Neurospora crassa OR74A: one gene and its partner. The main gene of each other region encodes a partner of the protein of the gene in region 2 in a complex. Links are inferred from orthologs where the notes say so. Each region holds a gene or a part of one and is shown on either strand. Other genes may lie near its edges.

Region 1 (15,771 bases), on a different chromosome or scaffold from region 2:
GAGAATTCCAGAGATCAATACTATGCAGTCGTATGTGGCTCTCTTGCTATCTTCTCCGGCTTTTATTGAAAGGTCACTGACAATTTCTATAGTGCACTTGATCTCATCAAGTATCTCGAACTTGACGACAAGTTGGTGGACTATAACTACGTTGAGCCCACAAAGGAAGATATTGTTCCACACACGTGGTGGTACAAGAGCGAAAAGCCAGAGTAAGGATTCCGCCATTGTCTCGTTCCGACAGTGAAATACTTTGATCATGATGGACAGTCGAACTGACACTAGAACCCAATAGTTGTAAGAAGTTTGATGACGCCATCGCAAGTGTCGTACAGAGCTTCACTCAGGCTCCAGGCAAGGCTTTCGAGGAGTACATGAGCGGAAACAACGACTATTACTCTACCCGCGCTTGGCTAATGCTTCAAGCTGATCCTAAGTAAGCGTTGAAGGAGGAAAGTTAGAACTTACCTGAATGGCCACTAAACTAACCATGTCGCTACCAGACTAACGTACGAGGAGACTGCAATGAGTGAGGCATCCGAAACCTCTACCGGTCTCTTCGACCAAGCCTTCATCGAAACCATCTTCGACTACTGCGACTTCGCTGCAGCCAGAAATGTCGAGTGGAAGCGTCTTGAAGGCGGCATGAGCCAGGTTGCCGACCGCATGAAGGAACTCATCGAGAAGCCCGACTGGCCCGTCAAGGGAGCCCCCGCGATCAAGGTCACCACCTCCCGCCCCGTAACCGTTATGTCCGAAACTGCCGACCGCTCCGCCATCAGCGTAACCACCACCTGCCCCAAGGGACAGTCTCCATCCACAACCGACTACAGCGCAGTCTTCTCCACCACCGCCATGGCCCCCCTCCGGCGCATTGACATCGAAGGCCTGCACCTCCCCGACAAGATCCTGACCGGCATCCGCTCGCTCAGCTACGACCGCGCAACCAAAGTAGCCATCAAGTTCGCCTCGCCATGGTGGACTCTGGTAGGCGGCGTCTCGTCCACAGACCTGCCCATCTCCAAGGTCGTCTACCCGTCCTGGAACGACGGACCTGATAAGCCGGCCGTGCTGATGGTCTCATACTCCTGGGCGCAGGACGCTACCCGCATGGGCGCCTTGGTGCCGGATTACACCAAGACTTTGCCCTCTAAAGACGACGAGGTCGTGTCCGTCTGTCTTAATGCTTTGGTGAAGCTGTTCTCCAAGGCCGATCCCCAGACCATGGCCGCCAATGTCCCGAAGCCCATCACGCTCGACTTCCTCCGGTCGCAATACGTCACGCACCATGCCTTCGCCTGGTCTCACGACCCTTGGCAGGGAGGCGCCTTTGCGCTCTTCGGACCGGGCCAGTTCAAGGACGTGTACCCGGATTTCCACAAGGCGTACTGCAATGGCAAGTTCTTCATGAGCGGCGAGGCGTTAAGCACGCACCATGCTTGGATCAGCGGGGCGGTGGACAGTGCCTATATGAGCTTTGTGTTATTTACGACAGTGTATAAGCTGAAGGAACCGATGGTGAAAGTTAAGGAGAGCAATCTGGTGGGCGCAAGAGGAGAGAATCCGGAAGAAATTGATGAGTTCTTGTTGAGGTGGGCGGCGAAGTTGAGCGAAGGAGTTGAGGTTGAGGGGGATCAGAATCGGGGCAGTGAACATAGGAACTATGGACCTGGTGAGGAGAAAGGGGGACTGGATGATGACTGGTGCGATTGTTGCTGAGATGTACCTATCGATAGCTGTGAAGGTTAGCTGATGTTATCAGGTGGCTCATCAATTAGCACGAAGTTGATGATCATGGTATCCTGCCTCCCCTCTTCTGTGTGTAGGCCAAGAATAGCGGGGCAGTTACGATAGCTCATTTTTTCCACCTCGTTGTCGTGATCATATGGACAATCTCGATCGATCTACGTACTACTTCCTTTGACTGTCTGTTAGTGAGTGTAGATCATGGTTCTTAGTGTGAAAGATTGCGGCAAAGCATGCGGCAGTTCATCCGGAGTGTCAAAATGAGTTCTTGTTCAGGAAAGTGGTGATGTCATCACCGGCCCCACTTTTATAGCTGTACCTGGAGCTAACGTCACGACCTGATGATCGAGGATGTTCCCCCTCAGTCTCGACCGGTGTAGGACAGTAGTGACGTTAACGAACTCCCGTTGAGGAAACATCAAAAAGTCAATTACTACCTCCTTGCGTATTCACCCCTCTTCTCATCTCCAACCTCCAAACCATCTCAGGATTCCCTAACCAGAGACCAAACACACTAACAATCACTACCACTTACACCACCACCAACCACTACCTACAAGAAACAAAACAACAACAACAAACACCACAAGGCAACATGCAGTCCATCCTCCAAAAAGCCACCGGCATTGGCCCCAAGCCTGTCCAGCCCACCGACCTCAACGGCCGCGTAGCTGTCGTGACCGGCGGCGCCTTCGGCATCGGCTTTGAAGTTTCTCGCGCCCTCGCCAATGCCGGCTGCCGTGTTATTATGGTGAACCGCAAGGAAGAGCAAGGCGACGATGCCAAAGCCACCATCACGGCCGAGACCCCCGGCGCAGTCGTTGAATGGCGCGAATGCGACATGGGCAACCTCTCACAGGTTCGCTCCGTTTTCTCGGAGCTGCGCGAGCAGCTCGACCGGCTCGATTTCCTGGTTCTGTCGGCAGGCATCAACACGAACCAGTACGGACTGGACGCGGACGGGATCGATCGGCACTTTGGTGTGAACTACTTGGGACAGTATTATGTGGTCAACCAGCTCTACCCGGTGCTGAAGAAGACGAGCAAGTTGCCGAATACCCCCGCGCCGAGGGTGGTGTTTGAGGCGAGCGAGATGCATCGGGCGGCGCCGAGCGCAGTGCATTTTGCTAGTCTCGATGAGATCAATAACCCGGACTTGGGACCGACGGAGTTGTACGGGAGGACCAAGTTGGCGATGATTCTGTTTGCCAAGTACGGGCTGGCGGAGAAGGTGATTAAGAAGAACGGAGACAATATCTATGCGGCTTCGGTGCATCCTGGTGCAGTAAGTTTATTCCTTCTCTCGCATCAGAAACATTGCCTCTGTTGATATCGGCTTGCTAACGTGGAATACAATAACAGGTCAACACCGCCATGCAACAACAATGGAAGGACGCCTACCCCGGCATCACCGGCAAGCTTCTCACATGGGCCACACTGGCCTTTGGCCGTGATGTGAAGCAGGGGTCTTATAGTGCCTTGTGGGCGCTTACTGACCCCAAGATCGAGGAACAGAACTTGAACGGATGGTACTTCAGTGACCCCGACCAGCCTGGCAAGGAGACTTCCCAGGCTTCCGACCCCGTTCTGGGTCAGGCTCTCTGGGATCTGAGCGAGCGTATCATCAAGGATAAGCTTGGCGAGGATGCTTTGGTTGACTGGTACTCTGCTTAAAGTACCTACACGTCAAAGGGGAGGATGAAGAGTGATCACTTTCTTGTAACGACGACATGACCTAGAGATTACCTGCCTTAACTTGATAGCAAGCAAATAAGCATTTGAGTTTACAACATTTGATCTTTTCGCCGTTTTGGTAATCATAATGTCTAGATAAAAAATTACTGGCCCTATCATGGTCAGTGACGACATTTTGGGTCAGATGAAGTGAAGCCCTTTGGGCTGGCTCGTCTCTCATGGAAGGCAATCTTTACAAATGTCGAAATTGTTTCTTTTGGACCCATCGTGCTGTACTAGCAAAGCTGGTATGGGTTGGCAATATCTGATGTAAGTCTCTAGTGATCCCAATCAATCAAATTCTTCCCACCAGACTTTTTAGTCATTGTCCATATGCTATGTTTCTTGTGTAATCTCTCCCAAAGCCTATCCTCCATAACTCCCATGCCTAAATGTGCAAACCGTGTCGTCGTAATCATTATAGCAAACTTCGAACGAATCCCAACTAATTAGGACTCCTCCTTGGTCTCGGACATAAGTCTCTCGTTCTTGTCGGCGATCGACTGAATCGTGGCGGCAGTCGATCCCTTGGGGGGACGGTGACCAAGAAGACGTGCCTGTAGGGAAGCCCAAACCGGTTAGATTTGCTACCGCAGCGGTGATGATATGGTGCTGGTTCATTGAAAAGGGAAAAAAAACACACCTCGGCGCTCTCAACAGCAGCCGCATCCTCTCTGGTGACCTCGTTGACGGGCTTGTGAGACACCTCGCTGGCCACCTCAATGAAGTGCTCCTGCTTGGCCTTCAAGCTCTGCGCCGTCGCGGCAACTCCGCCCGCAATAGGTCCACGACCGTCCGTCAGCTCAGCCTCCGTCTTGGCGATCTTTGAAACCTCATCGGTGGTGATGGGGTGGCCCTCAACAGCACGCTGCTGGAGCTCCTCACGCGAGGGAAGTTGCTGTTGCTCGGTGGTGCTCATGTTGGTGTCTGGTGATTGATCGCTGCTGTGTTGTCGTTGATTGGCGTCACAGTCACGTCCGTTGTTGGTGCTTGTGAAGCCTTCTGTATCTCAGTCGGAAGTGTATGTTTGTGTTGCGGTGTTGGGGCTGCGAGATAGAGGTGGCGGTGGTGGTGGAGGACTGGAAGTTGTGTTGCTGGGTGGGCGGGAGCTGAAATAGTCACGTCTGGGGACCAGTGGTAAATGAAGTCGGCGTGGTGTACTGTGGATTAAAGGGAAGGTGCTCGTATTATTTGATCTGGTTGTTCTGTCCTCGGTGAGTGGCACGGATGGGCTCTTTCCATCTCACGTAGTGGACAAACGGGCTGGGGTTGACCGGCTGTCAAGATTCCCAGAGAAGTGACGCTAACAGATTTGGCCAACAGTTTGCATGATATTCGTTAGTAGATGACTGAACTAACAGTTACAACTAACTTGTTTGGGGGCTTCCTTCCCGTTTGAAGAGAAATTCGATGGCCTTGATGACGTCTGAATCGGCGATGAGTACCCTGATCTGATGCGATTGCCCTTGCCTGCGGGGGTTTCTGGAAGCTGTTGAGCCACTGATCTTGAAGTTGTTTGTTGATCACTTTCCCTGCTGGTCGGTGGGCGACTTCTCTCAAACCCAACACTACACGCAATCGGTCACTGAATATCACCGCATGGGTTTTCAAACGAGAAAGGAACGGACCGGATCTTGGCCCGAATGTTTCATACCATGGACAGGACAGACACTAACGGGAAGCCGCCGTAGGCAATGAACCGCGGCTCCGAATGTTCTGCTCCGTGCCGTGCAAGCCGGGAAAAGGGGAGCGGGATGGAGCCTTGGCGTTCCGGTTTACACTACTACCTCATGTCCGCCGTGTGAGATGCAAGAACGGTCACTGCCATTCAACCGCACCTACCTACATCTTTTCTTTCACAAACGATCGATGAAAGGAAGGAACTGAATCAATAGAATTTGATTGCATTCATTCCGTCGTTTCTGAATTTCACTTTTGGTGGGTAGGTGTAACGAACATGACATAATGCCTCGATGTTGTTGACTTCTCCATATGCCTTGAAACCCTCCTTGACTTTCTTGACTCCTTAGGTAACCTCCCAGGTCCAGAACGAACATTGTTGAGTAGCAGAAATGATTTAGTCCATGGACTCTCCAAGATCTTGCAGCTTCTTGCGATCCTTCTCCTTGGCCTTCTCCGACACGTTGGGGTTATTGATTGCTGCCTTTAGTCCGCGGATGCTATGCGAAACATACTTGTCAGCTACCGTACATCTCGGTTTTCTGACTTTGTTTGTGTGGGTGGATCGGGACTGACACGTTTCCTCTGTCCTTTCCTTCAAGATTTGCAGACGTGGATGACTCGGTTTTGGAGCCGGTGGAAGCATTATGAGAACCCGTCGACTTGCTACGACCCTTCTTGGCAGTAGACGACGAAGAACCAAGCTTGCTCGAGGAAAATTCTTCGAGAACTTCCTCCTCTGCAATATCTGCGCTATGCCCTTCAGGCATGTGAGTTCCGAACTCACTTTCCAAAATCTCGCGATCGCGCTGCTTGGCCTGCTCGGATACGCGCGGATTGTTGATGGCAGCCTTGAGGCCGCGCTCACGGTTTCCAGGGTCCATCTTTGTTAAGTAATAGGTGGTAGTAGCTATCGGTCTGGCGTACAACAGTGGAAAAAAGGGCTTCGGATTCAAGGGGGAGGGGCTCCTAAGCATTAGATGGCAGCGACGATGAATCGGACTGTCCTGTCTTCGTACCAGTCAAGAGCTGCTTGGGTGGTGGAAGATGCAGGAGCAAACAGGATCATGCGCGCACACTCTGGCGCTTCTTGGATCTTTCAAGCACTTTCCCTCATGCAGGGCCCTTTTTTCTTCTTCTTTTTACTTATCATACTGTAATGTACTTTTCCGCAGTGACGGGCGTTTGACGTTATGCTCCCCTCGCTTTCCGGAAAAGACTCCGTGCTTGCGCGGGGGCAGTGCACCAACTTGACATCACATGCCTGTCAAATGTCTAAAGAACATCAGATGACCATCTGGAGGTACGTCCCTACCCTACAATCCATCGTAAAGTCAGTCTCCGTTAAATTACTTTTCCAAAGCAGTGGGAAGCCCCTTGCAATGTGGTGTTCCTCATCAACTTCCCGATTCATCTTTGTCATGATGTTTCATGATGTACCCATATCTAAGCCACGGGAAAAAGAAAACCACGTCCAACGTGTTTACAGTTTGCTGTGAAGATGGTGGTGCATTCTAGACCCCTGTCTTTCTCATAACCCGAAAGGCCATGTCTCATCAAACTCAAGCGGCCCAGGAGGTTGATGAACCTCCAACGCACCCACCTCTTCAGTCTCATCAAAGTAAGCAATGCCATCAAGCTGCTCAGGCAATACAGCAAACGAGTAATGTGACTGTCGCTCCGTCGCGGGAGCATAGATGACCCCAATGAACCTCTCCAGTCTTTTCTCCACCAAAGCTTCCCTCAACGCCTTGTCGCAGTGCTTTGTCCTCAGGTCTAGCACAAAGTTTTTGATACCGGTATCATGCATCAGCCTCTCATAACTGTTGGGCAAGGCTGGTTTGACATGCATAACACTCATGTCTCCATCCCAACGTTTGGCGGCGGCAACCTTACCCGTGTATCCCAGGCAGCCGATGGCCAAAGCCTTCTTACCATAAGCCTCCTTGCACAGCTGTCCCACGTTGAGTTCATCCGCGGACCAGCTCATACTCGTAGCGCGGGCATCTCCAATGTGGCTGTTGTGCGCCCACACAATTGCCTTTGAGTGGGAGCCGCGATGGTCGAGGATGCGCTGGAGGGTTTCGAACATGTGTGTATCGCGGAGATTCCAGGATTCATCGCGTGCGTAATACATGGCTCTATAGTAGTGTTCGGCATCTGGTGAGTGTCAAGTCAGTAACAGATCTGATAACCCGCAACCGCAAGAAGAACTGACCTTTTACCAATCTCGCATTCTGTTCTCCTCCGTGAAATTCCTCTCCATCCCACTTTGCCCGTTCGTACTCGAGCCGTTTACTTAGCAAATTCTGCAGCACCTGGACCACATCTTCCTCATAACCTTTGAAACCCTTTCCCCCGGATACCAGCGTCTCCAGTCCGTATTCGTGCGGATCTTCAGACCAGTCAAGCAGCCTAGAGTAGCACCGTTTTGCGGTCTCCGCCATGTCCTTGTCCACCTCTTCCAAATAAGCAATGACGGCCCGCATGGATGCGCCCATGCTGTACAGATCCAGCCCGTAGAATCCAGTCGCCTCCTTCTTCATATCTTTCCCTTTGTTCCAACACCTCAGCCACTCGACAAAGTCATGCGTTTCCTTGTTCCGCCACATCCACCGTGGGAACCGCATGAAGCTCGGTTCTCTCCCTGCGCGCCGCGCTTCGGCTTCGGACTCGATCGTTGCTCGTGGGCCCGGCCCTGGGCGCCGACGGACATATCGGTCAATGGACTCGGCGTCAGGCCAATCGGCTTCGCAGGCGACTATATTGTAGCTATGGTGTTCGATCATGTAGCGTGTGAGCGCGGCGCGGAACGCGTAGAACTCGGAAGTGCCGTGAGACGCATCGCCAATTAGCAATACCTTGGCGGAGCTGAAGGAGTCGAAGTATCGAAAAATGTCCTTCTTGGGGTCGTCTAGGGCTTCGGAGAGCGAGGGAAAAGGATGGACATGTCTTCGGAGAAGCTCAAGTGGTGATGCGGGAGGCTGAGGTGTCGACTGTCTGGAGAAGTGCATGGGAGTATGGCTCCGGCTGAGGCTCTCGACTCCGTCCAGGTGTAAGTGCGCGGCGGCGCTGTCAGTGATTGAGGACATCCTGTCCCTGAATTTGTGCATTCTTTGTGGTAAGTGGTTGCCTTGATGTCTAGGTGAAGAAGGGATGTGATGAAAAGATACTTGGTGGTATAAAGGGAACACTGCTCGGGAGCATCTTCGAGCACGTAGAGGCGGCGAAAGGGAGATTCTCTCGAGATTCATTTCATTTACCTTCAAGCAGGGGCAAAACTGCCTACCTAACTAATTACGGACGAGAAGGGATCCCCTAATGTTAATCCCAGGATACCCAGTCCATGGCGAAAACCACCGCGGGGGAAGTTCTCATGACTTGGGACGATGAGAAGCAAATGAACGTTGTGACGACAATATGACGCTCATTGATCACATACGCATGTGAGTAAGCCATAGGTTGCCCGCGAGGGAGGCGTTCGAATCCATTGAATCTGAAGACTTTGACATAATGGTGCGGAGATGTTCGAAAAGGTTAGGGCGCCTAGGCTACGATGAAGCAATGGACCGTATGCGAAGGGGGATGGATGGGGTCTCACGAACTCTTCCCGCGAGCCTCTTTGGCTTACAACGGTATTTCGTGACATGTACTGTAAGAGTTGTTACCGACTATTCTTAAATGCTTGATTTCACAACCGTTTGAAATAGGACATAGATGAGCTGCTTGGCCAATGTTTCACAGCTCTTGAATAATTTGAATACTTTTGGACGTTTGGGAATCCGGACGCTTCGTGGCCGGGACAGTCAATTGACGGTGATTGCAATGCATGACCAAATCGACCGTACGTCGTGAGCTACTTATCGAAGTGTCCCAGTACTTACGTACTGTACAGATGTGAGAGAGAGAAGGGGGGGGGGGGGGGGGGGGGGGGGGCCTTGAGAAGGAAAAGCATGAAATCGGGACGTACTTACTGGTGGCACAGGGGCAGGAAGGAGAAGGGAAGGAATGGAACGGAACGGGCAAGATTTTCATGGGACCTTCCTCCAGAGTCTCGGGTACGGTCCCTGCCCGAGCTTCCTTCCCGTCACCAGCAAGGTTCTCACGTACGCCTAAGCCTGCAGCAATGAGTCTAGACTTGCTTGCATGCCACCATGTTATTTCCTAACTTGGCAATGTCAACCCGAGGAAGATCGAAAATAGCGTAAAGTCAACTCATACCTTTTGATTCACAAAAGCGACCAACACAGACGACCAGCTGCAGTTGTTCTTTCCGTTGTTCATGCAGTCACTGCTGTGTGCATATGACATCATGGATCCTTATCAGTTGCCGGCCATACGCTGATAAGACCTCCCCAGTTCTCACACGGGTTGGAGGAGCATCGACGACAAGACATTTTCAACACAATCTCAATCACCCTACTGAATTCGAACCTCTCGTCCTTTACAAATTTCAGTCATGAAGTTGGCGTTTGGTCTTGTTATCTTTGGCCAGCTCGCCAGGTTGGCTTATGCTGCGAGCTTGGTCCGCCTCCCAAATCAACATGTTTTGGCTGGTGAGCTCGACAATGGAGACCAGCAAGCAGCCAAACTTCCGCATGAAGTCAGAAAGGCGTAAGTGATTCAGTTAATTTAACCTTGTCTTGAATGTAAGCTGTTCAGTCTTGACCCCGTCTGACTCGTACCTTGCAGATTGAAGAAAGCAGAGATCATTCCAACTGGTGAGTCGGATCATCGTTGAGAAAACCGGAGTGACCTCGCAGTTGACGATCGCCAATACAGTCATGGATGACTTCGTTCCTACCTTGGACTTAAAAGTCAAATGGTCCCATGGTATCAAAGCGTCTTTGGGTAATACTCTCAAGCCAAAAGACCTTCAGGATCCCCCCTCCATTCGTCTCAAGGACTTGGTGGCGTCTACAGCATGCCTTCGTCACTCTAGCACAAGTCTCGTGATTGTCATTACCGATCCCGATGCCCCGTCCCGCGATGACCCCAAATGGTCTGAGTTCTGCCACTGGATTGCTGTTGGACCGCTCGTAACGGCCGATTGTCCCATCAGCGACGAACAAACCCAAATCCATGGATGTTGTTCGTCCGATTCACTCGGTACCTTGGAGGATATCGTGTCTTATACACCCCCGGCTCCGCCCGAAAAGACCGGAAAGCACAGATATGTCATCTTGGCCCTCGCGCCGGTCAATGGAACGAGCGAGAAGCTGCATTTGTCGAAACCCAAGGAGAGAAAGCGCTGGGGATACGACAAAGCGGTGCACGGCAAGACGCATGGTGTAAGAGAATGGGCAGTTGAGAATGGACTGGTACCCTTTGGTAAGTCGTGGACACAAACGGAAAGGTCCATGGACTTTCTCGGGCTAACATTGAGTTACACAGCGGCGAACTTCATCTATGCGCAAAATAAGAAACAGTGATATCGAAAAACACTAGTTCAGTGATGTGAGTGTTCTGGGCTTTGTGGACATGCAAATCATGTTGATGGGCGTGAAAGAAGACAAAAAAATGAGCAACAAAGGCGACTGTTAGAGATACAAACACTCCCATAGAACCCGTGCTTACTTAAATAAAGCGTCAAAAACCCCGGCCGGTTCCAGATACACAGTATCATCGCCGCAATTTTACGGACACGAACTTTAACGATGAAGAAATAAAGACCTGGGCGGTTACAGAAAGTCAGGGTACCCGGGGGTCCCGGGCGATTGTGAAATGTTCACAGGTTCGAAGTAGTAAACAAGTGACATTCCATTTCCTTACCCAAGTGATGTCTCTTCCTGCAACGACTTTAAAACGCAAGACCCAAAAGTGTACTCGGGTAGCTAGAATGCCATGCACCTGTATCGATGTGCTGGAAGAACGAAGACGTGGAAATTCAGGAAGTTGTCCCCAAAATGTGGAGGAAAAAAAGAAAAAAAAGGAAAAAAAAAAAACCTATCTTCAAGCCACGGAAAGGATGCGTAGGCTCGACCCACCGCTTCTACAATGAGACGCTAAGTCAGACAGATGCGTTGATCGTCGCTTGCCCAATACGAAACACTCTGAAACTATTCGCAGCTAAGTGTACCTCTAGGATTGGCTACAAACACCGATACCTCTCTGTCATCAGATCGGAACATCAGAACTAACCTTTAAGTAAGTAAGCAATTCCGACCAGTTATGAGTCGACCACACATCGGGTGTTCTTGTGCTTCTTTTTTTTCCTTATTCTTGGTAGTTTGCGCGCTTCTGCTTTTTGCGGTAATCTATCCTACTTACGCATCTATTGTGAGATATGATGACTCGTTTACAAGCTTACCCAGGTCTGCTACACTGCCATAAACCATTCAGTGTTGATTTCTTCCCAGCTTCCTCCCAGTATCAATATGATGTCAAAAACATCAGCAATTTTGCCCTGTATGTGCCTCCTCATACCTTTGGGTGTAGCATACCTAGCTTTCGAAACCATACCAAAAGCTTCTCTGGCTCCATGAGCGCTCACATTCGCCGTCTAACCGACTCTCATGACCGCAAATATATGAACCCGACGGCGGGGCCATCAAAGCACGACATCTTATGCACCATCATTCTCATCCAGAACACAGACCAAAGTGTTCGTCACGAATCATGCGTCTCATTAAACAGCACGGTGAGCTTGCTCCTGAGCCCGGCTACGTGTACCGTTTTGACTCCACCATCCCCCATAAACGATATTACTTCGTCAGCAAACTAGGTCACGGACTCCAAAGTCATGCTCAGCTCGTCCAAGACAGAGAGACAAGCCTAAAGGTGGTTCAGAAAGTGGACAGGAAACTATGTCCCTCCGCTCTCGACCATGACGAGCCAGCCGAGATTAGCGTCCTACGCCGCCTCACCAGTTCCCACCGTCTCGCCAACTACCAGCCAAGATGGATCACCCTTCTTCATTACGAACAAGTCGTTGCTTACCAGAAGACCGAGAAGTCCGGTAGGCATTTGAGCTACCAAGTGAGTTACTGGAAGTTCTGTAATGGTGGAAACCTCTATGGCCTGGTGAACCCTTACATCATGGAACAACGGCCGTGGCTAGCACGTAGCCAAAACGGTACGGCCCCTCAAGCTCCGTTGCCTAAGCTTCCCATCTCACTAGTTGCGCGTGCTATCCGTCACATATGCGAGACATTGGAGGTCATGTATCAAGGAGGCGACGAAGCCGTCTACCACTGCGACCTGCACGCCAGCAATATATTTCTTCACTGGACCAAGGAAGACCCTCTCCCAAAGTTTTACATAGGGGACTTTGGTATGGCTCGAACCGCAAGCCAGTCACTCCTGGACTCGAGGAAATTTCACCCTAGAAACGGGATACCATTCGATAAGCAGCCGCAGGGAACCAAGCCACCGGGTCTTGCCCCTGAAGGTTCCCGCCGTCGATGGGATCTCATCATGGACCATGACTGTAATTTGACCAAGATGTTTTGGTCCATGAGCAGAAGCGCAACCAGAGATATCGGCTATGGCAGTGTTCGACTACCAGTTCCGCGACCTCAAGCGCACCGGAGAGATCTGGTCAAGCAGATCGCGCAGCAGAAGAACCATCCGACAACGTCGAGGCATAGACACAAAGCAAACCCCGTGTCCGCCAGCCCCGAAACATGTAATGGACCATCTCGGTCCTGGGGCTATGGCCCAAATTCTTCATGTCAGCAGGACATAAAGGACACCCACGCCCGACTCTTGCTCGAGCTCATTAGAAACCTCGGTTTCCTGAACGAAAATGACCAATTACACTCTGTACTTCAGCCTGACCTGCGTCCACCATCCCTGGGTCGTATTATCGAAGTCGCAGGGATTTTGGAGAAGGAGGCTCTACAACGGGAGCAACATACACGTGCGTTCAAGGAGTTTGTCAGGGAAAGGAAAGAAAAGGCGCTGTTTCAGGAATTTGAGAGTATTCCGTTTGTGTTTACACGTGACGGGGCGGAGGCGAAGGCGATCTTGAGGAAGGCGTTGAAGCGTCCAAAGAGGAATCCTTTTGAGGTCTACCGTGGGAAGTTGGATGAACCGGAGAGTCTTGAGGAGGTTTGGGGGAGGGAACATGTGGCTGGGCCGTGGAGGGTTGTGCAAGTTAGGGTGTAGGATGAGAAGAAGGACGAGGTTCAAGTGGCTCAGCTAGGAAGGAAGGGAAAAAGAAGTGGTGTCTTCAGCTGTCGAAGTGATTTAAGTGTATTTCAAGTTGCTCTGGTGCTCCGCTCAACCTAATCTGTAATCCAAGACAACCTTGAGGCGGTCCAGTAAGGTGGTGTTTGGTGATAGTAATGGCCTTCTTGTACGTTGGATGCCGGATTGGACATGCCAGGAAGTCAGGAACCTGGAGGTGACGGCCTTTTCTCTCTTTTGGGTGCCTACCATTCCACGTAGACCGAAGGTGTCCATAACCCCTCAATAATGGTAAACCTAGTGTATCCGTGTCGGTCGCTCGTTTCCACATATGCTGTATAGTGACTTTGATCGTGGTACTTGTTCTTACTCTCCAGATCCTCAAGGCTTCAGAGCGTACATCCGTACCGGCAGGAGCTTCATGGTCCTCGTCTGGGGGAAGCCCTTCTGGAACTCGGCCTTGACAACCTTCAAACCAGCCTTTTGGAAGACTTTCTGGAATGTCGCCTCGCCTCTGTTTGTCATTACCGCATTTCGTTAGTCTCACCCACCAAATCTCAAACAACCCATTTCCATCACCACGGAGTTCATGGGCAAAAAAGACTCACCTCGTAACACTACTATCCTCCTTGTCAAACTCATCATTCCCCAACACCGTCGTGTTCTCCTTGATCACAATCAACCCATCCTCAGCCAGTGCGCTCTTGCACCTTTGCAAATACGCCACCAGCTGCTCATCCGTCAAATGTCCCACGCACCACTGCGTCCACACCAAATCATACTTATTCTCCCCCTCCCCGACCTCAGGCACCCACTCCTCCAACCCCATCACGTACACCTTCCCCACCCCCTTTTTTCCCTGCAACTTGGCCGTAAACTTGGCAATTGGCTCAACCACATCCACCTTCCCAGGTCCTTTCCCTCCCTCGTTCTCATCCACCACCAACAAATCAGTCAACAAGCCCTCCGTGATCCTTCCCACGCCTGCCCCGCCCTCTAGGATGCGCTTGCACCTGCGCAAGCCTGGCTTAGAACCAATGCCGAACTTGGCTAGGAAATTGCGAGAGCCCTGCAGGTCGATCTTGGACGTGTTGGCGAAGCCGGCGAAGGTCGGGATCCCGCCTAGCATGCCGTTCTCGTCGGCGCTGACGGATTCCCAGTAAGCGAGACCGTGCTCTTTGGAGATGGAGGCGTCGGCGGGGGTGGAGCCGGAAAGCTGGGTGAAGACATTGTTCGGGTCTGACATTGTGGATGAAATTTAGTTTGCTAGGACCGATGGGGTGCTTGATGTTCTTGGAGTATTGCGGCTTGATGAGGTTCGAAGTCCGGGTTTCTTTTGCAATGGATGATGAGACTCTTGGCGGGTTTCTCTTGGCGGTAGCCGTTCTCTCGAAAGGGAAGAAAGAAACCAAATTTTTAAGAGTTTGAACAAAAAAAACGGGGATAATGTGATGAGCGGTTGAAAATGATTCGTTCGTTTATCAAGTTGTGAGGTTTCAGATCTCGAGTTTGTTTGGTTGTACTTGTACTGTTTCAGGCCCGGTTTATTCTGCCATTCGTGAATTTTGTGCAATCCCGCGTCACGTGGGTCCCTTGGGAAGAAATAATTCATTGAGGTTGTTTAGCGGTGACGAACCATCAGAGTCTCCCCAGTTTTTATGGTTCTATTTACATGGCCACATCATAATCCCCTGTTCTGCCAAAAATCCTCGACGGCTGATAGCAAAAAACAACAGAAATATTGAAATGCAGCTTCACGTTGGACAGCTCAACCCTAACCCTTGCTCCTACCGTGTACTGTGGGAATCTGAAGGAGTTGTGTGTGATATACTTGGTAGAAGGTGTGATCCAAGGATCGGCAATGTTTTGCTTTTTTCTAATTTTTTTCTCAAATTTTTTTTCTTTCTTTTTCGCATCTTGAGATTTTGAGAAATTGATATATGGACGGCAACAAAAAGCAACATATGTCACAGTTACGGTCACGTACGTGGTATCTGTTTTCTCCGTACGAGGGACAGGAAGCGTGCGTTTGCGTTTATTTTATGATTTCTAAACTCGCCAAGACGTAACATGGTAGAATTAGATTGAAGTGAGGGAAAAGTCTATACCCATTCGCACGATCTCATTTCAGCATGTGTACACCAGCTAACATGATATCTTTCGAAACATTCTGTTAAAACTTAGAAATCTAGCCATGCAAATGGTGCTACAGTCTATGTAACCTTTTCCCATCCTGCCAGACAACCCAAAAAGAAAAACCTAGACGCCATGCAATGCTGTTTAGGTGTGCCCATGCTTCGTCGACCCCAACATGCCTCTTAATTTTGCTACCTGTTGCGGTTGACGGAGAACCGCCTGACCATAACCTCACGAATCGTAAACTTCTTGAGCGCAGCCGCAATACCACCCTTCTTCATTTCCTCATCAAACACTGGAGGGGGCGGCACGTCGACATAGACGAGTACCAAGCTCTTGAGCACA
Region 2 (16,316 bases):
GATGATGTTATTTGTTAAAACCTGAGTGCTAGAATAATTTGTTTTGAAGAAGCTCATGCGCATGGTCACCTTGGCGTTGGGCGTAATTTATGTTCGAGGGTGTAATTGGTGCTTTGGGGTGAAGGTAGACTGGCCTGATCAAACTGGCCTGCGGCCTGACTAATTGGATCGACAATCGAACTTGCTTAATGACAATCAGTACGGGTATTACACGAGAGCCGGTGATGGAGATTTTACGGTATTCTCCCCTTACCATGATTCTTGTGAGGTTATGCCGTCTTCGCCAGCTACATTCTTACATTAGCGCACTCCTGAGTTTCCGTCTATATCATGCGTAAATATCTCCTGTTCATTGACAGGCGACGAGCTTATCTGTATCGCCCTGGCGTTTCATCCAAGATCCTCGTTTGGTTGAGTGGAAAGAAAAAGCCATCCACTCGCATACATGTGTATATATATCTACTATTTATTCTCTTCCACGTGCCCCCACGCCCTCCCCCTTCTCTCGCCCTTCAGGATTAACCCTTCACTAAACGTTGACAATTATTAGGTCGCGACACGAGGGCAACTCCAAGAAGGGAATAAATTGGTGCCGTACTGTTTGGAGCAAAGTGTGTACTCCTCTGCTGTTTTTTGTCATCCGAACTTTAACGCTGCCTTCCGTTTGCCTCTTCACAGGGAACGGGATGAGGCTGGCAAGTCGTTGCTGAAGAGGTTCTTTTTGGCCGATTCGAGAATCACCTGCCGTCAACGGGATCGGACGGTTGGTTGCTCAGGCAGAAGAATTGTACGCTTTATCCACTACACAAAGTCTCCATAACCTTCAGTTCAAGCGGATAGATTCTGGCCGCTCCTTCCTTAGTGCAAAGGTTGATCCAGAGGTGAACTGGAAGGTATGGTTGAGGCACCATCTCCTCGTCATCAATAATCCAAGCTCCTTCGCGTGAGCTTGAACCTCTTCGTTCTTCAAACCTTCGTGCGGTCGTCGTGTGCTCACGCCCACGAAGAAATTATCCTACAACTTCGCTACCGGCACTGCAGATACCAGCGGATCCTAAATTCTTTTGCACTCGGTTCTGATCGATTGTTCACACCTAAATCTGCAAGCGTTTACCCCGCGCAAGAACGAAAAAGTCGAGATCTTGAGGCCATTGAGGATCCAGACGCAGTAAGCACACGGACACAATGAGTTCATCTAGAGCGACATTCTACGCGCACCAGACGCTCAATCTCCACGCCCGATATGGACTATCGGACAACGCGAAAAAACTTCTCCGAGCTCACGACAACTGGAAGATGGGAGGCCTTGAGCGAGATCAACTGGGTCGTCTGGTCCGAATGTCTCCCGACATGCGCAAGTCAATCACAGATACCATCACCAAATGCGCCGAGATAATGCGCAAGAAACCTGCCGAGGTCAAGAATTGTATCGATATCATCCAGGCCTGTACTGAGATTCTGGATGCTGCTGGTGAGGATTCTTCATCATGATCCAGTCCATCTGTACTGCATAAACTTGGTACCGAGACCCATATGCTGATAGTGCTGTTGACCAGACAAACCACCCGATTTGGAAGGCTTCCCATTCCTCAAACTACCCGCCGAACTACGTCAGAACATATATCGCTGGTACGCCACCAAAATCGTAGCCACGACGTTAGTTGCCTATTCGAACGAAGTGGGTTGCGACTGCGGCAAATGGACACCTCCAAATCCTTCAACTCTCCCTGCTATACATCGCGTAGACATGGCGTTGGCTAGGACCTGCAGTCAAATCAAGTCCGAATACCTTGAATTCATCTATCACAAATACACCTTATATTTCGCCTGCAGCTGTGAATTGAATAAGCGCTTGAAAGGCAACTCAACCTTGCGTGCCAGTCTTCGTTCAATCAAGGTCCATTGGACAGGCCCGGTGTCGGACAAAGCCTTCAGCCGTCTCGCCAAGTGCAAGGAGTTAAGACATCTTGACATAGCCATCTCCAAGTCAACTACCAACTTTGAGACGCCTAGGGAGAAGGAGATGCGGCGTTATTTTCATTCGATGAAGCCAGCTCGACTTGCGGACGCTCTGGGAATCGAGGAACTGCTCAGTATTCGAGGCCTTACGTCGGTTTGTGTCTCCCACGTGAACGGCAGACAGAGCACAAAGCGCACGGATGAAGAGCGGGCAAATCTCCAGGGGCTACTAATTTTCAAACTCCGCGTCCCCGAGCTCGACTAGGGAATAACATTCGGGAGGGTGAGGCGGTCGTGCCAGCCATGCTTTGGGCGTGGATGCCATATAGGGGGTTGGGCGGCCAGGTCATTCAGGTGGAGGAATGCGGAAAATGACCGAAGTGCAAGCGCTTGGGCATGTGGAAGCGAGCCATAATGACAACCTGTTGGGTTCTCGCTGATGTGTTTGAGCGATGTCCGAATACCTTGAACGAGTATATGGAGAATTGTAGATGTCAGGGGCTGAATGGATCACATAAGGGGGAGGATCTCGATCTCAAGCCAGCAGTCGATATACAGCAGCAGGGTCTCGACTCATGAGGACAAAAACGTCAAACTGGGAAGGAAGATGTTGCAACGAGAAATTGCGAAAGCCTCCATAGGGAAAGAAGAAGGTTCCGCACTCAATGAACGTCACAGAGTTTATTCTTGTCTAGTACGCAGCTCGCAAGGAGGCGCATCCTGGCTCAAGATCAACCCCAGGGCAGGATAGTTGACCGAATCAGGCATAAGACGGCATCGCACAAGACATAGTTATGGACGGCACTGGAACCTACTGTTTATCGTGTCGAACTAACGTCCTCAACCTGGGAAGACAGAGACACATTCCGCATAAGGCTTTTGTGCCCCAGCTAGGTCGATGATTTGGCTCTTGGTAGCAGAATGGTAGTCATTGCTTTTGGCCTACATTCATAAGAAAGACGTGACGTGTCGGCATATAGTTCACCAGACGTGGAAGCTTTAACGTTTTGAGTTGTCTTTGAGTTGCCAACGGGTGATGAAATTAGGAAGGGTGAGGTTTTGCTGAAAAATGTGTTAATTCGAAGTTCAATGTGGACCCACTTAGACATTTCTTGCCTTGCCAATTGCCAAAAGGTCCTGGCAGCTGTCAGATATCTTGTTTACTGCGCCCTAGCACCGTTCCCTTGATACTTCAACACTTTTACGTCAACCATCAACACTGACATCCTTTGCAGCAAATTTATACCGATATTGATACGAGCAAAAACCGAAGTTGCAAACTCTCATGCCATGAGTTCGAGCAGATCTCTGCCTCTAGAGACCTTTCCTAGATGGAAAAGGACAATATCACAGCTAGGAACAATGTAGAGTTGAAACTTCGCTTCATGTCGTGGCTCTCAATCCTTCCCAGATACACTCCCCTCCTTCTCAGGGCTCTGTTACATCTGGAGCTGTAATCACTGTGGCGCTTGTGTCGCCTACTACGACATTCTCGGTTGGGCTATTCTGGCATTTGAGCGGTGGCCGAGCGTATTTCTGGTTCCACAGACTTCTGGCTGTTGGAGCAGGCTGAACGCATTTGGAGACTCGCTTCATTAACTTTGATAGATATGGTCACCGGCAATATCCATGCATTTGCAAGAAGTTGCTGTTCTGCCAAACCGTTTGTATTTGGGACAGATTTATACAGATTGAAGTGCTCTGAAACGCGATATCTACAGGAGATCACATCGCAAGGCAGGTGGCTGGTAGACTGGTTGAAGTGTTAAACCTGCGAAACTTCGTTGTGAACACGATTTGCTGTTGAGGTGAAGGACTGCTGAACGTCAGAGGTTCGCGAAGTGAAGGGGCAAGCGAGAATCGGGGTTAGGGTCAAGGCCATGCTTGAATCAAGACATTACAGGCAACTGACAGGCACCTGCCCGTGCACGAGCCATCTGCTTCATTCACAGCATTGCACGACACTTTTGCCCCGCCACGTGACGCACAAATTTCGAAAACCATCTGGGCTCGAATTCGACGGAGCACTTCCCACGAACCTGCGACCGAACACACAGCACAGACAATATCGAGGCGGTATCCTCGAAATCATTGCCCAAGATGTCTCTGGTGTCCGGCGAGAAGGTATGTTGCAATCCTGCAAATTCATCTCCTCCCGAAGAAGATCATGCGTTGCCCAAAAAAAACCGAGGTTCTTGGCTGCGGTCGTTGTTCATCCTCTGGCGCCGTGGGGATGCCATCACGAGTGAGGAGCTGGCGTCGCTGCCCACCTTCAAAACCGATGCAAATACGAGACGATTCAACGCGAAAATACAAGGAAGTGGCGTCCCATGACAATGTCGCGACAAACAAACGGTTCATCGATGCGCCGGCTTCCGAATACCGATGGCGGCTTCAAGCGATGTGTAGGCATGGAAGTGGATATGGCTTTGCAGTTAGCCTGTGGTAGACCGAGGATGAAGACGAGCGACACGGCCTTTGACGACGCGAGATTGATATTCGACACAGTACGCATGCGGTGGGCGATAATAGAGATGGCAATACGAGCACGCGACCATGAGCATTTGATTGAGCACTGAGCTCTACGACCGATGCTTGGATATCGCGGCAGCCAAAGGAGAACAACACGGCAGAACCAAGAACCAAAACCAGCAAGCGCTGGGATGCATGATCTTCGACCGGATATTCTTTAAGACGCTTTCGGATGCTAACAGTCTTTTCAGAGCAACTTCAACCACATCTTGCGTCTGCTCAACACCAAGTATGTTCATTCAGGCACCTCATGATCTTAACCATATCGCGAATCCGGAACAGAACCGTTTTCAAGAGGAGGGTCAATATGTTGAATATGGACGCTGACTTTTATGCAGCGTTGACGGCAAGCAGAAGGTCGTTTACTCCTTGACCAAGATCAAGGGTGTCGGTCGCCGCTACTCCAACCTCGTCTGCAAGAAGGCCGATGTCGACCTGAGCAAGCGTGCCGGTGAGCTCACCTCTGAGGAGCTTGAGCGCATCGTCACCATCATGCAGAACCCCACTGCCTACAAGATCCCCGCTGTACGTTTGAACGGATTTCACTCGATATGACTTCGTCGTCTAACCTTGTCTACAGTGGTTCCTCAACAGGCAGCGCGATATCGTTGACGGCAAGGACTCTCAGATCCTCGCCAACGGTGTTGACTCCAAGCTCCGTGACGATCTTGAGCGCCTCAAGAAGATCCGCGCCCACCGCGGTCTCCGTCACTACTGGGGCCTCCGTGTTCGCGGTCAGCACACCAAGACCACTGGCCGCCGCGGTCGTACCGTCGGTGTCTCCAAGAAGAAGGGCAACTAAATCTGTGCGGGCATATTCGGCGCTGCTTTTTCTGGGTTATTGGTGGTGTTATTCCAAGACGGGCAGTCATGGACACCTGGGACTGAATTGTTTCGCCTTGCGCGTATCTGGATTCTAGGTAGCCTATGGCTAATGGGGGAACTCGCATAATGGAAGACACATCATTGACAGCATGACAATAAACGGCGTGGATATGGAAAATGATTTACTGGCATTTTTATTCGGTCTCTATGGACGTGAAACACGCAAATCCATTAAATCCATTGCCTAAAACAACCCACTATGATTTTCGATGCCATAACGCCCACCCCATGTATGTGACCAAGACCACCATAGACGAAGACCCAGAGAGTATCAGCCAGTTAAATCGAGAAACGAAGTCATGGCTTTAATCTTCGTGAGTGACGGCCATATCCAGGACCTCTACTCTTCCCTGTCCCTTGGTTTCGCTTCCGATGAAGTCAGACAAGATTTTAAAAGCACCGGGCTCTACGAAGCCCACCAGTTCCCACTCTTGGCCCATGACATCTTGGCTCTCAACCTGCTCAACGAAGCTGAGAATCTTGTCCTTGACCGTTCCGGGTGCCTTCTTCTCTCCCTCCTCGCCATCCTTGTTGGCCTCCCCCTTGGGAGCCTTGACGGCCTGCTTGAGCACATTGGTCGTGCAAGTGATGCGTAATCTCATCCTCGCCCTGGCAACGGGTATAGGCTGATGGGCAACGAGCGCCTTCATGGCCTCCAGCGCCTGCGACTTTGCGCTCTTGTTTGTCGAAACACCGGTCCAGATGGGTAGGGACTTTGTAGGCTGCGGCTTCGCCTCGCCGCTCTCGCCCGTCGCCGGCGACGCCGTACCGCTCGCGGCCGCATCCTTCTTCTCCTTCTCCTTCTCCTGTAGCTGATGCGCCTGCGAGCTGAGCATGTCCAGCGCCTTGTCGATCATGCCGGTGGTGTAGACCTTTTTGGTGCGCGGGTCGACCAGCTTGCTGGCGACAATGGAGACGACTTCGTTATGGACGCGCTCCAGCTGCGCGCTGCGCTCCTTCTCGCCCACCTGCATCTCGCCCTTTTTGAGAATCTCCAGGATGATGTCATTGACCGAAGTGTCCTTGCCAAACGCCTTTTGCAGCTCGGCCGTCGGCGCCGTCTGGCCCTTGGACACGTTCAGAAAGACGTTGGGGATCTGCAGGACGTTGTCGAGGTCAGTCTCGATGCCGGACCGCCATTCGAGCACTTTGTTCTTGTAGCAGGCAACCTCGAAGCGTTTTTTGCCCTTTTTAAGCCGGACAAGGGAGACGTTGGTCAGTTTGATCTGGTTGGAGGGCTGTTGGATCACCATTTTGGCGGTGGTTGTGTAGTTGTCGTGAAAAGAGTATAATTCGATGGTTCGACGGTATTGATTCTCCGGGAAATGAAGCCGTTGAAAATAGCTTCGAAGGTAGTAACAGTCGGGTATATAGGATGCTGGACTGGCTTTTCTGAGTAGCTGATATGTTTCCAGAAACCGGGCATACAAGTTGACTTGCTGCAGTTTCTCTGAGAATGCGCCCGTAAGAGAGATAACGATATGCCCGTGGAGCAGAAATTCTTGGTCGCCCGCAGCTTCCACTTTTCTCCGCTGCAGAGCGGGCTTTGAAAGTCTGCCCCGCCTGCCCGCCGTACCGCCCCAGTCCCCTCTGATGGACGGATGGGCCGCCCCATCGGATCCCTAGCCGAATGACGATTGACGGCGGGCAAAAAGCGGACTTGTCAAGCACGCGATGCGGGAATTCCATTTGTCCATCGGATGAGTCAGTGGGTCTTTCTGTTATCGATACCATAACATCACGCTTGGAGACGGGTTTGTCAGATATTCAACATGATAAAGACTGACACGAAGTGAGACCTCTTCAGTTTTGAAGACAGGAAATGGATGTCAAAGTCATTCAAATTGCAAGGGATCATTTTTCATTACTATTATCACATATTCTCTGAAGCTGGCGCCTGTTCGAGTTGAACTTGCCAGGAAAGCAGCACAAAATCACCGTTCGTCTGATATCTTTCAGGGGTATCACGCTGCATAATGCGCGACTCATGAGGATTATCTACTGGAGTTCCGTGAAGGATTATCATCTCCTCCTGGGAACAACATTCTTATATCCGGAGTTTGGAGTATCATACATGGACAATAATTCAGCAATGAGAAGGAAATGAGTGAGTTGTTGTCGGGCGGTGGACATGGAGTCGCATCGAGGCGACCTTGCTGGCGAGGTTGAGACAATGACGAAAGGTAGCTTATCAGACAGATAGGTTGATACCAGGTTGATTGGCGCCACGTCTTGAGGCCAAACTGTACAAGAAAATAAGAGGTACACATGGCGGTGAGAGCCTTATAGGCGGCCCTCTTCACAAGCGTTTGGTGATTTTTTTGTCTGGCTGATCGGCTAGGCGTCCGTTCTCATGACCAGCGTGACCGCCCTGCAAGGTACCTGACCAATACCCAGGCATGCACTCATGTGGCGGCGCAGCGTCTATCCAATCCCATGCCAGCTTGCCCCAAATCCTGGGGGGTTCTGCTGCATCCGCGTCCGGTGAAGCTCGGTTCCGGGGCGTTTTACCTTGGCAGTTGCTTGCCCATCCATTTCCGTTATCAACCTCCTCTTCCTTCCTCTTCCCCTCTTCCATCTTCTTCTCATCATCCATCTGTATCACAACATCAATACTCCTAACATCATCACAATGAGGATCTCGGCTTCAACCGTGCTCCTCGGGGCTGCCTCGGCCGCCTCGGCCGCCTCGTTTCAGAACCAGGCCCAGCATGTCCTTGCCGACAACTTTCACAAGGCCCATGACGCCGTTAAGCCCGTCGCCGACTCGTTCGCGCACACTACCCTTGAAAGCTTTGAGGAGGCCTTCAATGGCATGAACTCCCAGGCCAAGGCCCTTTGGGACGAGATCAAGCTGCTTGTTCCTGAGAATGCTTTCGATAAGCCCACCTGGTTCAGCAAGCCCAAGGCTGCTAAGCGCCGCAAGGACTGGGACCACGTCGTCAAGGGCGCTGATGTCCAAAAGCTGTGGGTTAAGGGCGCCGATGGCGAAAAGCATCGTGAGGTTGGCGGCCAGCTCGACAACTTCAACCTGCGCGTCAAGTCGGTCGATCCTTCCAAGCTCGGCGTCGACAAGGTCAAGCAGTACAGCGGTTACCTTGATGACGAGGAGAACGATAAGCACCTGTTCTACTGTAAGTCAATCACGCTCGAATGTACTTGGTTAGTAAAAATCACGGTGCTGACTCGGACTGTCCAGGGTTCTTCGAGTCTCGCAACGATCCCAAGAACGACCCCGTCGTTTTGTGGTTGAACGGTGGCCCCGGCTGCTCTTCGCTCACTGGTCTCTTCCTTGAGCTCGGCCCTTCTTCCATTGACAAGAAGCTCAGGGTTGTCAGCAACGAGTACGCTTGGAACAACAACGCCAGCGTTATCTTCCTTGACCAGCCCGTCAACGTCGGGTACTCGTACTCCGGCAACGCCGTCAGCAACACTGTCGCTGCCGGCAAGGATGTTTATGCTCTCCTTACCCTCTTCTTCCACCAGTTCCCCGAGTATGCCAAGCAGGACTTCCACATTGCTGGCGAGTCTTATGCTGGTCACTACATCCCTGTCTTTGCTTCCGAGATCTTGTCCCACAAGGATCGCAACATCAATCTCAAGTCCGTCCTTATTGGTAATGGCTTGACTGATCCTCTTACCCAGTATGAGCACTACCGCCCCATGGCCTGCGGCGAAGGTGGCTACCCCGCCGTTCTCAGCGAGAGCGAGTGCCGCAGCATGGACAATGCCCTCCCCAGATGCCAGTCTCTTATCCGTAACTGCTACGAGAGCGGCAGTGTCTGGTCGTGCGTTCCTGCCGCCATCTACTGTAACAATCAGTTCATCGGCCCCTACCAGCGCACTGGTCAGAACGTCTATGACATCCGTGGAAAGTGCGAGGATGATAGCAACCTCTGCTATAGCGCTCTTGGCTGGATCAGCGACTACCTGAACCAGAAGGATGTCATGGACGCTCTCGGCGTCGAGGTTGAGGGCTATGAGAGCTGCAACTTTGATATCAACCGCAACTTCCTCTTCCAGGGTGACTGGATGCAGCCCTTCCATCGCCTCGTCCCCGGCATCCTCAAGGAGATCCCCGTTCTCATCTATGCCGGTGATGCCGACTTCATCTGCAACTGGCTCGGCAACAAGGCTTGGAGCGAGGCTCTTGAGTGGCCCGGCAAGAACGGCTTCAACAAGGCTGAGCTCGAGGACCTCTCTCTTCCCAAGGCTGACAAGGAGTACGGCAAGGTCAAGTCCTCCGGAAACTTCACCTTCATGCAGATCTACCAGGCTGGCCACATGGTGCCAATGGACCAGCCTGAGAACTCGCTTGACTTCCTCAACAGGTGGTTGGGCGGTGAATGGTTCGAGCAGTAAGAGGTTCTTGACCTAACAGGAATCGCGACCGGCAATCGGGGATCTTATGAGTGTATGATGGATAATGATTGATACGGAATAGGTTTTGGTTACGACAAGGGCGTGTGTATACAACGAGGGTAAAGACCATCGGGACCTTACGGATTCCCTTGGCTAGTGTCAGAGAGCTCGCGTCTGTTTGATGGTTCAGACAAGACCCAGCGTGGCGTAATGAACAGCACCCGGTAGAGTTTGTATACAGAATGAAATTTGTTTTATTGTCAATAAACACTACTCCTAAGCTCATGGACACCATTTCTGACAGTCCACCTGAACAGCCAAGTATGGACAGTCATCATGATGTTGAATAATACAAAGGGAACAATGCGCAGATGTTTGTCTCTTGCTTCCAATTTACTGTCAGATATATTTCGACGACTTGGCTGAGCCCGTCTCCACTTTTAAACCCGATATCTCGCGTTGTTGAATTTGTGTGCTTAGAACTGATGACCAGAAAACGTACATCCGATCTGTGTGGTGCTTCTTATAGTAATCATTGTTCGTGGTATAAGAGAACACGCTCTATCTAGGGGATCTTAGTTGCGAGGGCGTTGGACACTGCTGTCTTGTGTCCGTAGAGGCAGGTCTGCTGACTTAGCGGTAGCTGTCTGGCTTTTCGAGGAAGTCGGGTTCAAGAATGAACGCATACAGTCTCATACAAACCAGACGAGCAGATTCTTTGAGGAGAGGCAGAGGCAGCGAGTAGAAAAGAATAAGTCAAAGATGGTAATGTCATACATCATTCTGTTTTACGATACTTTGGTTCACTGGCAACCACTCAGCTCAGCTCAGCTCTTCCTCATTTCCTCATATCAAAAACTGACTGGGTCGATTAAGAGGGAGGGTACGACACGTAGGAGGATGATAAAAATAACAATGGTTGATGGATGGGTTGGGTATGTTGAAATGAGAACTGAACTCCGGGAAGTCTAAGCAGCTAGTAATCTTGTTATGATAATCCAAATGACGATGAGCCCTAGCCAAACCAAGCCAAAGAAGGAACCATGCAACTGAAGAAGAAAAAAAAAAAAAAAAAAAAAAAAAGACAAAATGACAGACGGAAAAGGAAGCCAAAAAAAAGGAGGTATCATGTAGAAGGTCAAGTCTTTGTCAAGACAGGTAAACAAGAAGAAAAGAAACACACAAAGAAGTGATAAGAATGAAGCAAGTCCCATGCAAACCTCTACTAATACACCGACACAACCGAAGTAGAATTCGCGAGTTCTTTTGTTTCCTCGGATGAGCCCAGAATAGAGTCGAGCTTCTTTCTCTTTCTTTTCCCCTCGCTCTTGGGAAGATTGAAATGGTGGTAGTGAAACCTCCTACAAAAGAAGAAAAGTAATCACAAAAAAGCATGTCTGTGTGAAACAAACTCGGAAGAATAAATAACCAACAAGAAGAAAACGAAGAAGTAGAAGAAGAATAGAAAAAATAAAAAAAGAAGAAGAAGAAAAAGCCGACAGTAAAAATGCTCTCTCCCCCTCTCCCCTTTCCCCCCCCCTCCCATTGCCTTTCCTAATCATGTGTATACGTGTGTAATTTCGCCGGTGCATCCTTTCCTAATCCCAACCAACTCGATCAATCAATAATCATAAATGCATCTTTTCTCTCCAACCCCTTACTGTCCCAACCGAATAATGAGCAACCGAATGTGAATAAAAAGAAACTTCGTGTATTGGTCCACAAACCCAACCAGAACAAATGATCTTCCTTCCGATTGGGGGACGACACTGACACTCCTCATAATCTCTGGGCGTCCAGTAGGCCAGTGTCAACCAGCATCGATGCCAATTGAGAGGGTTTGTGGTCGGTATTGAGACTTGTGGAGCCAATGATGAATGGGCCACAGGCTGGCGTTTCGTAAGAATCTCGCGAACCTCGATTCTATAAATTGCAACCGGGCTCAGCAGCGGCAGTGATACGAGGGTAGGCGTCTCAACAACACCCCTAAGATGAGATGGAAAGGGAGACACTTTGCGTCAACACCATCAAATCCTATTGCGGTATTATCGATGTTGCACGATCTACAGCGGAAAGCTTCATGAGCCGCTGGGTCGAGGCCTCCATTTCTTTGCGCGCTTGACGATATCGGGTGAAGAATCCGAGAGCGTAGCATCGTTATCATCTGCCGGGACGACAGGCATGCTACCTTGTTTCGGAGGCGGCGACGAAAGCCGAAGCAGAGAGATGGTGCTCTATCCCATCGGATCTGCTGACCTTTCGGGGCTTGCGGGGCATGATGTTTTTCCCTTTTTCGATTTGGTGAACGAGGAGAATTTGGACGAAAACTTGTTCTTGAGACCCATCAGGCTCGCCTTCTTCCTCATCGTTTTACCGTTGCCGGTGTCTTGTTCCGGTTTCAGATATTCCTGTCCTAATGTCGATCCGCTGCCATTCATGTGACCGTTTCCGTTAGACATGTTATCTTCGTCATCGCTTATAAAATGATCGAGTTTTTCGTTCACTTGCAGCTGATCTCGGTCCGAAGACATCTTGGTCGCCTCAGGAATTGCAGTCGGAGAGTCTGGGGCTGTGACAGTCGTCATAGGAACACCGACAGATTTGTCCATCGAGTCCCTGCTGATGATGCTCGTACCCTGCGTACTAGGCGAGAGCGGCATCTTGCCCGTCGTCGCGCTGTTTGCCTGCGAACCCCACTCTCCCGAGCAGGGTGCTGAGCTGCCTTCGGTCGCCTCACTGCATCGCTGACGATTCGATCCGTGTAACCCGGCACCTCCACGGGAGAAGTCGGTAGTCGTAAGACTGGGAAGCACACCGTTAGGTCTTCCATCGAGGGCACTTTTTTCTGTTGGAGGCTCCGAATCGCATTTCGGCGGGGGGCTATATTTAGAGATGCCAGGTTGGTTTTCCATCGTCGATCCTGCCGAGGGGAGTAGGAGTTCATTCTCAAAGTGAGTAAGGTTGAGTTCCATTTCGTCAACGGAGAACTGTAGACCGGGCAAGATATCTGCCACGCCTCGGAACAGAGGGAAGGCAAACAATTCCATGAATTTTAGCTGGGACCTGATCCGGCCGTCAAGGCTCGTCGATGGTGGAGCGATAAGTGCCGTTTTTTGACCCATATCCATCTCAATCTGAGTCTGCAATATAAGCTCGTCATTCAGCAGGTGCATCCACTGTGCACCGATATCGTGTCTCCGTGCGACGTTACTGATGTCAGCGCACTTGATTATAAGAGCGCACACTAGCACCCTCGCCTCGTCGACAGCCTTCTCATTCCAACCGTCAAGATCAGGTTTTTGAGCTTGAAGTTTTTGCAAGTTTCCGAGTTTTGCCATGTAGTCGAAATGCAGGGCCATGTCCGTAGCCAGGATACAACTGATCATCAACGTGCGCAGACGCCTATTCTCGTAAAAGATCGGCCAATGTCGCTTGAGAATCTGGCAGTAGCTGGTGCTGTGGAAATTCTCCAGGACTGAGCGATCGTTGTAAAGCTCTGCGAGAGGCGCTCGTGCCTCGATCAGAAAGCCGTTGTTGACACCGGGATGCAAAACATCGTGACCAATGGCAGTAAGGAGAAGGGTGAAGGCTTCTTCCGGACCTATGGAGGGTGTTCCAGGAGATTCTGCGATTGGGCTTGTATGAGTACCGTTGACGTTTGGATAAGGAGGCAATGCGCCAATCCGGAGCAGCTGCTGAAAAGTTGCCTGTAGAACGTCGACAACATGTCGAAAGTTATGGTATGGCACAAAACCCATATAAGCAGCCCGACAAGCTTTGAGGAAATTTTGCAACTGCGTTGGCGAGATGCGAAATGCCTTTAGCTCTGGCATGGATAAGGCATGGTTTAGTGTGAGTTCGGCTGCGACTATCAGCTCGTCGTAGTCAAATTTGTGAGCATCGAAATGCCATGTGCTGATGGCACGGGAGATTTCAGCTCGCTTCTCTGGGCATACCGAGATATTGGCCTTATAGATCTCATTATCTCTGTCGTCCTCCGTGCTGCAGATCTTCTTAATCAAACTCTCCACGAGGTATTCACGGAGATAACCATACGGCCGGGTATCGTTGAACACAGCGATCAGTGATCGTTTTCTGCCCTTACGCACGTCCGCCAATGCTTGTTTCCTTGAAAGAGCGTCCTTGTAAGCGTAATATGCCCTGTCTTGAATCACTGCGATGCTCTTAGCATTCAGGGGACCCGACAAGACTGCCTTGGCCCCAAAATCGATACATTGTTGTCGCATCCTCGTCCTATCTGCCCCACTGATGTTGTTCATGGCGTCGGGTGATTGGATGAGTGGGACAGGTATAACCTGCTCGTAGAGATGGCGAGCACGAGCTTCGGACTCGATCTTTTTAAGTAACGAGAGGCCGTACGAGTTGCCATCGTGGCTCTCGTCCCTGCGTTCATTCGGAAATTGGGCCGGGAAGAACTGCTGGTAAGGGGTGTCTAGGAGGATAATCGTTGGTTGAAGATCGGCCTCGTGATCTTCTTGGGGCTGGAGCCAGTGGGACATGCAGGCACCCTCAGTGCTGCACAAGTAAGCTGCGTCCGAACAGTTAGCACAAAAGGTCGACATGAAAGGATGGATATCAGCGGCCCCGCAAACCTTCTGGAAAAATCTCCAAAATGCACTTCACAGTGTCGGCAATGCAGTTTGGTTCCGTCTTTGCAACATACTCGTCCAAATGCCTTGCGCTTCGTTGGATGCAGCGGTCCTCGGATACTGAGCGGTTGACGTATATAACACGGTAGTGGATGTCCTCCATGGCAACTTGTGGTTCCTCCATGATATCCATGTTGACTTTTGGTAGTGACCAGTCTCCCTGCGACTGCACTCTGGTGCCGAAAAAAGATGACTGTCCAAAACCACAACCTTGAATGCTTGGGTTTCTTGCCGACGCACTGAAAGTAGCCAATGCTTGTTTTGGCCTCGGGGAAAGGGACCAGCAATAGGCCAAGACAACTCCGACAGCGTTTGGACGCCGATGCCTCTTTTGACGCAACCACTAATTGGTTTAATTTTGGATCGGTTTTCTCTATTCCGAAGGCGAGGCGGTTGTGATCGGTGCGATAGCGAGGGATGCAAACTCCAAAGTCTCGGCACGAGTTTCAAAAGTGGACTGGAAATGCTGGCAGGCGATATTTGCGACAATGAAAAACAAAACTGGAATTGTGGTGTCCGACGAGTAGGAATGATTTTTTCGAGACGCTCAAGGAGGCGAGGAGACTGCTAAAGGGCCGATCGAGGTCGAGTTGCCTGGGTGGTTAGGAACTAGAAACGCGACGCACAGAAGGTCAGATTGAACAGAATCCCGGCGACGACGGCATGCGCGTCTAGACAATTGTGCCGTAAATCGCGGGTAGTCGGTAGTTGATGACATGTAACGGGTGGTTGTTGTCGTGCTTCAGGCGGACTGAGACTCGGGGGAAATTGGAAGACGAGGAGGATGCAAAGAAACAAAAAGGAAGGATGGAATCGCCTAGGGCGTATGACTGGAGGTGGTGGCAGACATAGACGGGAGAAGAGATAGGGGAGGGCGTGGAAGGAGTTTTAGAACTCGCTACTTTCCAGTGAGAGGTGCTAACGGTAGCAGTATCCGTACTCGGTACACACACTGGGTAGGCAGGCAGGCCAAGCAAAGGTACAGGTGCATGTACCTTGCTGTGCAAGTAGAGGGCAGGTAAGGTACCTTTGGAATGGGCAAAGAATGGGACGGGACCCGAATGTGGGTGACAAAGGCCAGGTACCTTCCCTTCTACCTCTACACTACCTCTTACCACGTCGAAGCAGCGGATAGCGGGCGGGTATCAACAAGGAAGAGGAGGGAGGGGGGGGGGCAGGGCGATGCTATACGTACATTGGACAGGAGATGTTTGCCGTTGGTCGATATTGGCTGCCACGGCAGCAGTGGTTGGAATATGACAGAGACAGGGAGGCCGGCGACGAAAGGGAAAAAGCCACGGCCCCTATGGAGATGTGGTGGTTGCTCAATTGGTAACCGCAAATGTAATAAAATGGGAGAGGCTAGACCCGTTCGCTTTGGATGGGCATGGGTTTCCAAGGGCGGGGTTCGCTTCTTACATGTACTCTATCTAATTTTTTTTTATTTTTTATTTTTTGTCGTCGTTCTTTGGTTCAATGGTCCTTGGCTTGGGAGCTGGGATGACGCGCGAGCCTGGCGACCGAACACTGGTAGAAGCCGGCATGGAATCATGGAACCCATCCAGCGCTGCACTAGTATCAACACTTTGGTTTCATCCACCGAACCTGCGCGGCATGGCACTCGGGTTGGCCGATGCCTGAGCGTGGATCAGCGCCCGCTAGGTAGGTAGGCCTGTTACGTCAAGATCCAAGCATGAACAAGAAGGGAAAGAATGTCGAAAAAAAAAAAAAAAAAAAAAAAAAAAAAAAAAAAAAAAAAAGAACGGATGCCACACAATCCATGCTTGGCGAGAAGCCATGTGTGCGGCGCGCGACGGCTTCTTGCAAAAGGGAAGCAAGCAGGCCAGGTCGATGCTACCAGGGTCAAGTGTTCCCCCTTTCTGTGAGCCAGTCAGGCTCGGCCAAACA

Evidence for each region.
Region 1: the proteins of NCU00477 (region 2) and NCU01112 are in contact, whole or in part, in a crystal structure (PDB 1WPX), measured with the Saccharomyces cerevisiae proteins. The link is inferred for Neurospora crassa OR74A from reciprocal best matches to the Saccharomyces cerevisiae genes PRC1 and TFS1. Residues at the interface, in NP_014026.1 of Saccharomyces cerevisiae: Gly164, Ser217, Ser221, Ser257, Tyr258, Leu289, Arg327, Leu331, Val341, Trp342, Val345, Pro346, Thr348, Ile349, Tyr350, Asn352, Asn353, Leu356, Ala357, Gln360, Arg361, Val366, Tyr367, Cys373, Asn377, Cys379, Cys409, Asn410, Phe411, Asp412; in NP_013279.1 of Saccharomyces cerevisiae: Met1, Asn2, Gln3, Ala4, Ile5, Phe7, Ala10, Ser11, Asp13, Ser14, Lys17, His18, Ile35, Ala37, Val38, Glu39, Pro45, Val46, Ala47, Met48, Gly49, Asn50, Thr51, Gln62, Phe63, Gln64, Thr66, Asn68, Gln70, Phe133.

Annotation. Positions count from the first base shown.
Region 1 is NC_026505.1:2,936,468-2,952,238, forward strand, and holds NCU01112 (lipid binding protein), read left to right. Parts: upstream 1-9,518; 5' UTR 9,519-9,619; coding exon 9,620-9,774; intron 9,775-9,852; coding exon 9,853-9,881; intron 9,882-9,942; coding exon 9,943-10,491; intron 10,492-10,554; coding exon 10,555-10,592; 3' UTR 10,593-11,074; downstream 11,075-15,771. Other genes in the region: NCU01106 (L-amino acid oxidase), read left to right, coding at 1-30, 93-212, 296-436, 504-1,719; NCU01107 (short-chain dehydrogenase), read left to right, coding at 2,342-3,031, 3,109-3,420; NCU01108 (hypothetical protein), read right to left, coding at 3,930-4,037, 4,124-4,399; NCU01109 (hypothetical protein), read right to left, coding at 5,558-5,660, 5,737-6,137; NCU01111 (erythromycin esterase), read right to left, coding at 6,692-7,320, 7,379-8,174; NCU01113 (hypothetical protein), read left to right, coding at 11,779-13,269; NCU01114 (DUF858 domain-containing protein), read right to left, coding at 13,672-13,804, 13,899-14,536; NCU01115 (tRNA-splicing endonuclease subunit SEN2), read right to left, coding at 15,618-15,771. UniProt on the Saccharomyces cerevisiae protein: Specific and potent inhibitor of carboxypeptidase Y.
Region 2 is NC_026503.1:3,981,680-3,997,995, forward strand, and holds NCU00477 (carboxypeptidase Y), read left to right. Parts: upstream 1-7,780; 5' UTR 7,781-8,008; coding exon 8,009-8,510; intron 8,511-8,575; coding exon 8,576-9,738; 3' UTR 9,739-10,197; downstream 10,198-16,316. Other genes in the region: NCU00473 (hypothetical protein), read left to right, coding at 1-1; NCU00474 (hypothetical protein), read left to right, coding at 1,186-1,471, 1,557-2,224; NCU00475 (40S ribosomal protein S18), read left to right, coding at 4,060-4,083, 4,683-4,720, 4,830-5,016, 5,072-5,293; NCU00476 (UPF0023 family protein), read right to left, coding at 5,682-6,629; acon-2 (aconidiate-2), read right to left, coding at 11,973-14,287, 14,352-14,541. UniProt on the Saccharomyces cerevisiae protein: Vacuolar serine-type carboxypeptidase involved in degradation of small peptides. Digests preferentially peptides containing an aliphatic or hydrophobic residue in P1' position, as well as methionine, leucine or phenylalanine in P1 position of ester substrate.